2 linked regions of the Xenopus tropicalis genome follow. The protein of the gene in region 1 binds, or shares a complex with, the protein of each later gene. Links are inferred from orthologs where the notes say so. Each region holds a gene or a part of one and is shown in the gene's direction. Other genes may lie near its edges.

Region 1 (4,288 bases):
ATTTATTTCCGACCAAAATACACAACATGTTTCGGGCAATGTGATGCCCTTTATCAAGTAAAAAACGGCGTCACATTGCCCGAAACATGTTGTGTATTTTGGTCTGAAATAAATAGCATTTGAGCAGAATTCTGCTTTATGGTGCTCTCCTCTATATTTGGATTGACATTTTTTAGGCTTGTGTTGCTCCCCAACTCTTTTTACATCTGACTGTGGCTCACAGGTAAAAACAAAAAGGTTGGGGATCCCTGCTCAAGATACACAAGTGCTATGGGCAAGCCAGTGATAAGAAAATAAACAAAACCAGTCAATCATAAGTAGAAACTCACAACCTGCCCAAAGGACAGTTCTTGCTCCAGTAAAGACACCCACATATTTTAAAGGGGAAGTAATCCCAGAATTGAAATGTTGCCTAGCCAACTGTCTATTAGCAGTCATTGCAATTAAAAAGCAATCAAGGTTATTCTCACTCTTACAACAATGTAGCAGAAGCCAAGCTCTCCTGCTGCGTGTATGGGCAATGCCTCAGCTGGCTTCAGATACAAAGTGTCAATAGTGAGAGCCGGCAGTGCAGGAATCAGAGAGAATGGAGCAAACCCCGCTCTCACTAGCACATACATTGCCTTAAAGCTGAATAAAATGAAAGTCCCGCCGGTGGCAGTGCCAACAGGCAGTTACAGGTTGGGCGAGTGTTGCGGAACTGCAGCTCTCACTATACAGATGTCAGGCAGGCAATGCCTATGGAGGGATTCGCTTAATCCCCTATGGGAAGGACGTTTAGTTGTAGTTCCGCACAGTCTTCCTTAGTATTACAGAGGGATCACTGTATGAATGTAAGGAATACACCGCGTCTTATGAACATTCCTACGCCGGGCCCCCGCCCAAGACCGGTTCCCTAAGCCGCCCCTGCACCGCTCCCTGCTCGACCCACGGGCTTAGCATGGCAAACACAGGCGGCCTATAGCCCGGTTCTCTATCCCGGACTGTTGTCGCTCTTTCGTGTCAATTTCTCCGTAAAACCCCCCGCCCCTCACACTCACCATCGCTCCGGTATCCCCCGATAGCGGAAGTGACAGACTCGCACATGCGCACTACCTCTCTTCCCCCTCACTGGCACAGCCAGCGGTCGGACTAAACCATCATAAACTGGGGTTGGGCGAACATTTATACTTAAACCATGTAGATTAATTTAGCCGCTTGGGCTGTGGATATACACATAAGCATATCTCAGTTCCGTTCTTGTTACATTATTATTCTCATATACGTATAAAAAGCAATACTATATGAATTTACCCGGTGTGCACCCTCCTCTTGAAAATGGTCCGGCTCGCCCCGCTTCACGCCATATTAGGGAATGTGGAATGCAGGCGGGTCAGACCAAAGTGGGGTTTAGGGGGTGTACAAACAGAACATGAGCGACCGGGAGAAATTTCTTACAAGGTATTCATGAGAGAGATTGTTATCACGACTGCTAGAGGCTTATGATACCAGATACCTGCGGATCTATCACAGCTGCACATCAATAGTAATACTACGGGAGCCCACAGGCTAAGCCTTCCCAATGCCGCCATTGCGCGCCAAGTACGATTCTTCTCTATGGTTGATTCCATCGGGGCACAAAATGGGTGCTTAAAAGAGATTGTGCCTTGTGGACGTGAACCCATTAGGCGCTTGTGGTAAGAACGTTCCCTAAGAACGGGTTATTGTGCTCAACGGCCTATTCCAGCCTTATTAGTTGTTCCCCATTTACTGACACCCCTATTTGTTTTTCCGCAGTGGTACGCTCCCGGGTGACTGACAGGCGGTGACAGTGGCGGCCTTGCGTGAGGAGCTTGGCTCTGCCCCCTACTGGCCGTTGGGAGACAAAGGAAACGAGCGCAGGAGCAGGATCCATTGAGGGGGCCAGGCCGGAGTGTGGGTACGGGCATATTGTGTGGTGTCGGTATATACCGTGCGTGGGGGCTCAGTGCTTGCGTTATATGCGGAGAGTACCTGTAACAATGCGTCATTTGGTAGCCATAGGCTACTAAATACGTTTACTCCCCTGCTGTAATAGAATAGGACTACAACTCCCAGCCGCCCCTTTCGCAAAGCGCCAGTTCTGCAGCAACTGGAGAGCAGTTACCTGTACATAAGGGGTTATTAGTAATAACCCCTACCCCAGGGCACAGGTGCATAGTGTTACTGCTCCTGCATAGGCATACAGTATACACCTGCCCTATAGCCTGTTGTGCATTGGGGGTATGGGTGCACTTATCAATAGTACTGGGGCATTGGGGTACAGTATGGCCGGCCATTACAGCTGGCTGTGCATTAGTGCTGCAGGGTATGGAGGCTGCAATATACACATGCAGTAGTGCTGCAGGGTATGGAGGCTAAAATATACACATGCATTAGTGCTGCAGGGTATGGAGGCTGCAATATACACATGCATTAGTGCTGCAGGGTATGGAGGCTGCACTATACACATGCATTAGTGCTGCAGGGTTTGGAGGCTGCAATATACACATGCATTAGTGCTGCAGGGTTTGGAGGATGCAATATACACATGCATTAGTGCTGCAGGGTTTGGAGGATGCAATATACACATGCATTAGTGCTGCAGGGTTTGGAGGCTGCAATATACACATGCATTAGTGCTGCAGGGTATGGAGGATGCAATATACACATGCATTAGTGCTGCAGGGTTTGGAGGATGCAATATACACATGCATTAGTGCTGCAGGGTTTGGAGGCTGCAGTATACACATGCATTAGTGCTGCAGGGTATGGAGGCTGCAGTATACACATGCATTAGTGCTGCAGGGTATGGAGGCTGCAATATACACATGCATTAGTGCTGCAGGGTATGGAGGCTGCAATATACACATGCATTAGTGCTGCAGGGTATGGAGGCTGCAATATACACATGCATTAGTGCTGCAGGGTATGGAGGCTGCAATGTAGACATGCATTAGTGCTGCATAGTGCTGCAGGGTATGGAGGCTGCAATGTACACATGCATTAGTGCTGCAGGGTATGGAGGCTGCAATATACACATGCATTAGTGCTGCAGGGTATGGAGGATGCAATATACACATGCATTAGTGCTGCAGGGTATGGAGGATGCAATATACACATGCATTAGTGCTGCAGGGTATGGAGGCTGCAATATACACATGCATTAGTGCTGCAGGGTATGGAGGCTGCAATATACACATGCATTAGTGCTGCAGGGTATGGAGGCTAAAATATACAAATGCATTTGTGCTGCAGGGTATGGGTACATGAAGGCTGTAATATACACATGTATTAGTGCTGCAGGGTATGAAGGCTGCAATATACAAATGCATTAGTGCTGCAGGCTATAGGTGCACAGACAGTCCTGGTATTTTGGGGTACAGAACAATATACACGTGCATTAGTGCTGCAGAGTATAGATGATATATTCATCTTAGTGTATTGGGGGTACCGCATTCACCTGCATTACAGCATTGGTGAACAGTATGCACATGTGGTATGGCTTGTTGCCTATTGGTGCTGCAGAGTATGGTTGCATACATTTGTGTTGGTGCAACATATGCATGTATTCTAGGTTTAAGAAGGGATTCGCTGTTTATTTCAGAGGGGGGATTTTTGAGCTCTTGCATTTTTGCTGGTGTATCATATTAGACCAGGGTCAGACTTGGCCCTCCATAGGGCCCCCTTTTAAAACAAAACAATGTTATAGGTGTTGTATATGGCTAGGTGGAAATAAGGGGCTGATGGGAGTTGGCCTAGGTCCAACAGTAGATTCTTCAGCGCACTAAATAGAGAAAAAGGGCTTGCACTCAAATAATGCAGAGGTTGTATTCTAAAAAAAAAATTATCTTAACCTTTTGTATTATTCTTTGTTGCAGGCCGCCAGCCTTGGCAGAATGAGCGAGTTAAAGGATTGCCCTCTCCAGTTCCATGACTTCAAATCTGTGGACCATGTCAAGTTGTGCCCCAGATACACCGCAGTTCTGTCCCGCTCCGAGGATGACGGAATCGGGATTGAGGAGCTGGATACCCTTCAGCTGGAGCTGGAAACCCTACTGTCCTCTGCAAGCAGGAGGCTCCGTGTTCTGGAAGCGGAGACCCAGGTAAAAATCAGGGGGTTAAATGTAGAGCACCCGTCCCTCAGCAGTGGCTGCCCAGTGTACTTGGCATGAAGGAATATGCCCTTGTGTAGGAGGGTTTCATGCCCAGTAGGAATGTCTATAGGTTTGAGTTGGTATAAATCTTCAGATGGCAAAATGCTGCATATGCTGCCCGTTATATTTATTGT
Region 2 (4,187 bases), on another chromosome or scaffold:
GAATGGCAGGGCAGGTTCGGTAGGCATCAGAGGGAAGCCTGGCATTGCCATCCGTGGGCGTTTCAGCGCTGGGGGTCCTGCTGCAAGTTGGGGCCGAAGGCTGTGAATGGACGACTGGTTTGTCCCTTGGCTGAGCTGCCTTTTCAGTGCCACTCGGGCGGGCAGCAAAGATGGGTTTCTTAAAGGATTCTGTGGTCCTGGCATCATCGGGCCCCTCCATGGGACTGTCCCTGGGCGCACTGCAGCCAGAGCCTCCATCCTTACTGGGAGTCCTTGAGGCAATCTCCCCATAACTGGGCCTGGGACTAGGTTGTTTCTCTGGAGTGGCCCCTGCAGAATCGGGGCCCGTGGAACTGATGCCCCTGGGTGAACTGGATTCCTTGGGGGTGCTGGCCCCAGAAGCATTGGAGTGTTCATCCTCATTGGTCCAGGAGCTGGACTGCCCCTCCCCATGGGATTGGGTAACATGGGGCCCCTGGGATTGGCTATTATCGGGCCCCTTGGGGGTAACATGGGACCCCTGGGATTGGGCATTATTGGCCCCCCGGGATTGGGTATTATTGGGCCCCTGGCATTGGGTAACATGGGACCCCTCAGATTGGGCATGATTGGGCCCCTGGCATTGGGCATGATTGGGCCCCTGGCATTGGGCATGATTGGGCCCCTGGCATTGGCTATCATTGGGCCCCTTGCATTGGGTAACATGGGACCCCTCAGATTGGGCATGATTGGGCCCCTGGGACTGGCTATCATTGGGCCCCTGGGACTGGCTATCATTGGGCCCCTGGGACTGGCTATCATTGGGCCCCTGGGACTGGCTATCATTGGGCCCCTGGGACTGGCTATCATTGGGCCCCTGGGTGGGCCTGGAATCCCGTTGGGTTTCTGCACTGGTCCCTGTACAAGAGGAACTCTCATGCCTGTGGCCCCCAAGCCCCTCATGGCTATCCCTGACCCCCCTGGAACAAACATTCTTGGGGCCCTCGCTGCCCCCGGCCCCCTCACCCCCACCCCTCTCAGCAACCCCGGGCCCTGGAGTGGGGGCCCCATTGGCAGTATCGGTCGGGCCCCCGGTACTGGGAGGTTCCCCGGCAGCGCTCCCCCCTTGCCCATTATCCCCGGCCCCAGGGGCCCCCGTATCCCCGGCTTCCAAGGCAGCGGCCCCGGGATAACTGGCCCGTTCCCTGCCATCCGGGTCATGTGCAAGGGCCTCCATGTATCCAGCGCCACTTTCACCGGTTCGGGAGGAGAATCCGGAACCCACGGTACGTTATCCCGCTACAAACACCACAGAGCGGCCCGCAGCTGCTTCCGGTCTCATGGAGGCGCCTGTTGATGAGATCACTTCCGGCGTGCCCCCCCCCCCCAGTCTGGGACACAGGGAAACCGGACTGACTGTGTGAGGTAATGGGGGGCTCCTGGGGGGCTGTTCTGCCCCAATAAGGGGTAATTATATCTTAGTTGGGATCAAGTACAGGTACTGTTTTATTATTACAGAGAAAAGGGAATCATTTAACCATGAAATAAACCCAATAGGGCTGTTCTGCCCCCAATAAGGGGTAATTATATCTTAGTTGGGATCAAGTACAGGTACTGTTTTATTATTACAGAGAAAAGGGAATCATTTAACCATGAAATAAACCCAATAGGGCTGTTCTGCCCCCAATAAGGGGTAATTATATCTTAGTTGGGATCAAGTACAGGTACTGTTTTATTATTACAGAGAAAAGGGAATCATTTAACCATGAAATAAACCCAATAGGGCTGTTCTGCCCCCAATAAGGGGTAATTATATCTTAGTTGGGATCAAGTACAGGTACTGTTTTATTATTACAGAGAAAAGGGAATCATTTAACCATGAAATAAACCCAATAGGGCTGTTCTGCCCCAATAAGGGGTAATTATATCTTAGTTGGGATCAAGTACAGGTACTGTTTTATTATTACAGAGAAAAGGGAATCATTTAACCATTAAATAAACCCAATAGGGCTGTTCTGCCCCCAATAAGGGGTAATTATATCTTAGTTGGGATCAAGTACAGGTACTGTTTTATTATTACAGAGAAAAGGGAATCATTTAACCATGAAATAAACCCAATAGGGCTGTTCTGCCCCCAATAAGGGGTAATTATATCTTAGTTGGAATCAAGTACAGGTACTGTTTTATTATTACAGAGAAAAGGGAATCATTTAACCATTAAATAAACCCAATAGGGCTGTTCTGCCCCCAATAAGGGGTAATTATATCTTAGTTGGGATCAAGTACAGGTACTGTTTTATTATTACAGAGAAAAGGGAATCATTTAACCATTAAATAAACCCAATAGGGCTGTTCTGCCCCCAATAAGGGGTAATTATATCTTAGTTGGGATCAAGTACAGGTACTGTTTTATTATTACAGAGAAAAGGGAATCATTTAACCATTAAATAAACCCAATAGGGCTGTTCTGCCCCAATAAGGGGTAATTATATCTTAGTTGGGATCAAGTACAGGTACTGTTTTATTATTACAGAGAAAAGGGAATCATTTAACCATTAAATAAACCCAATAGGGCTGTTCTGCCCCCAATAAGGGGTAATTATATCTTAGTTGGGATCAAGTACAGGTACTGTTTTATTATTACAGAGAAAAGGGAATCATTTAACCATTAAATAAACCCAATAGGGCTGTTCTGCCCCAATAAGGGGTAATTATATCTTAGTTGGGATCAAGTACAGGTACTGTTTTATTATTACAGAGAAAAGGGAATCATTTAACCATTAAATAAACCCAATAGGGCTGTTCTGCCCCAATAAGGGGTAATTATATCTTAGTTGGGATCAAGTACAGGTACTGTTTTATTATTACAGAGAAAAGGGAATCATTTAACCATTAAATAAACCCAATAGGGCTGTTCTGCCCCCAATAAGGGGTAATTATATCTTAGTTGGGATCAAGTACAGGTACTGTTTTATTATTACAGAGAAAAGGGAATCATTTAACCATGAAATAAACCCAATAGGGCTGTTCTACCCCCAATAAGGGGTAATTATATCTTAGTTGGGATCAAGTACAGGTACTGTTTTATTATTACAGAGAAAAGGGAATCATTTAACCATTAAATAAACCCAATAGGGCTGTTCTGCCCCAATAAGGGGTAATTATATCTTAGTTGGGATCAAGTACAGGTACTGTTTTATTATTACAGAGAAAAAGGAAATCGTTTTTAAAAATTAGCATTATTTGCTTATAATAGAGTCTATGGGAGATGGCCTTTCCGTGATTCTAAACTTTCTGGATAAGGGATCCCATATCTATTTTCTCACTGTACTTTTTGTTACTTTGCGCCATGCAGGTGATTAATATAAGAGAAGCGGCTGATGCGGCAGAGAGAGGCCCAGAATGACAGAGATATCATAGCTGAATGAGAGTCCATTGATTGTGTGACTATAATCACTGACACAAAGAGAGGGAAGATGATGCGCTATTGGGGCGAGATCCCAGTCTCCTCTGGGCAGGCCAATAGAAGCTCCTTTGATCTCCTGCAACGCGAGTTCCGAACGGTGGAAATGCAGGAGCCTCCCCTACACCAGCCATCGGCCAATAAGCCCCGGCCTACCACTATGCTGGACATTCCCTCTGAACCCTGCAGCCTGACTATCCACACCATTCAGCTCATCCAGCATAACCGCAGACTGCGGGGCCTCATCGCCGGCGCTCAGGCTCAGAACCAGCAGCAGGTGGAGGGTATGAAGGTGGAGGAGAGCGAGCCTTTACCCCTCAGGCCTACCTCTCCTGCCCTCCCAGAGGATCTGCTGCCCCAGGACTGTAAGGTCCCCAAGCTGCCATTCCAGATTCGGCACAGCGACCCTGAGAGTGAATTCTACAGGTATTATATCGTACTTCTTGTGTCTGCAGCCCTGTACATTAAGGTGTATATTTATCATGTTGTGTAAAAAGTGAAGTAAAACATTACCAGTGATGTTGCTCATAGCAGCCAATCAGATCAGATGATTTGTTTGCTGTTGAAATCTAATAGCTGATTGGTTGCCCTGGGCAACATCACCAGTAATGCTTCACTCCACTTTTTACAAAGCATGATAAATATACCCCTAAAGGTACGTCTTTGTGCCTCGCAGTGGGAGGTACCTGAACCTTCTAATGGCAGCTTTTTAAGTGGAGGAGCAGGGAGTTTGTGATTCAAGAAG

What was found. The genes of interacting proteins can lie anywhere in the genome.
Region 2: tada3 (region 1) and supt7l share a complex: the UniProt entries of both Homo sapiens proteins name them as parts of the STAGA transcription coactivator-HAT complex. The link is inferred for Xenopus tropicalis from reciprocal best matches to the Homo sapiens genes TADA3 and SUPT7L.

The regions. Positions count from the first base shown.
Region 1 is NC_030680.2:138,580,975-138,585,262, reverse strand, and holds the start of tada3 (transcriptional adapter 3), read left to right. Parts: upstream 1-1,488; 5' UTR 1,489-1,676; intron 1,677-1,776; 5' UTR 1,777-1,918; intron 1,919-3,878; 5' UTR 3,879-3,896; coding exon 3,897-4,103; intron 4,104-4,288. UniProt on the Homo sapiens protein: Functions as a component of the PCAF complex. The PCAF complex is capable of efficiently acetylating histones in a nucleosomal context. The PCAF complex could be considered as the human version of the yeast SAGA complex.
Region 2 is NC_030681.2:5,371,949-5,376,135, reverse strand, and holds the start of supt7l (STAGA complex 65 subunit gamma), read left to right. Parts: upstream 1-1,387; 5' UTR 1,388-1,404; intron 1,405-3,334; 5' UTR 3,335-3,455; coding exon 3,456-3,868; intron 3,869-4,187. Other genes in the region: slc4a1ap (kanadaptin), read right to left, coding at 1-1,216.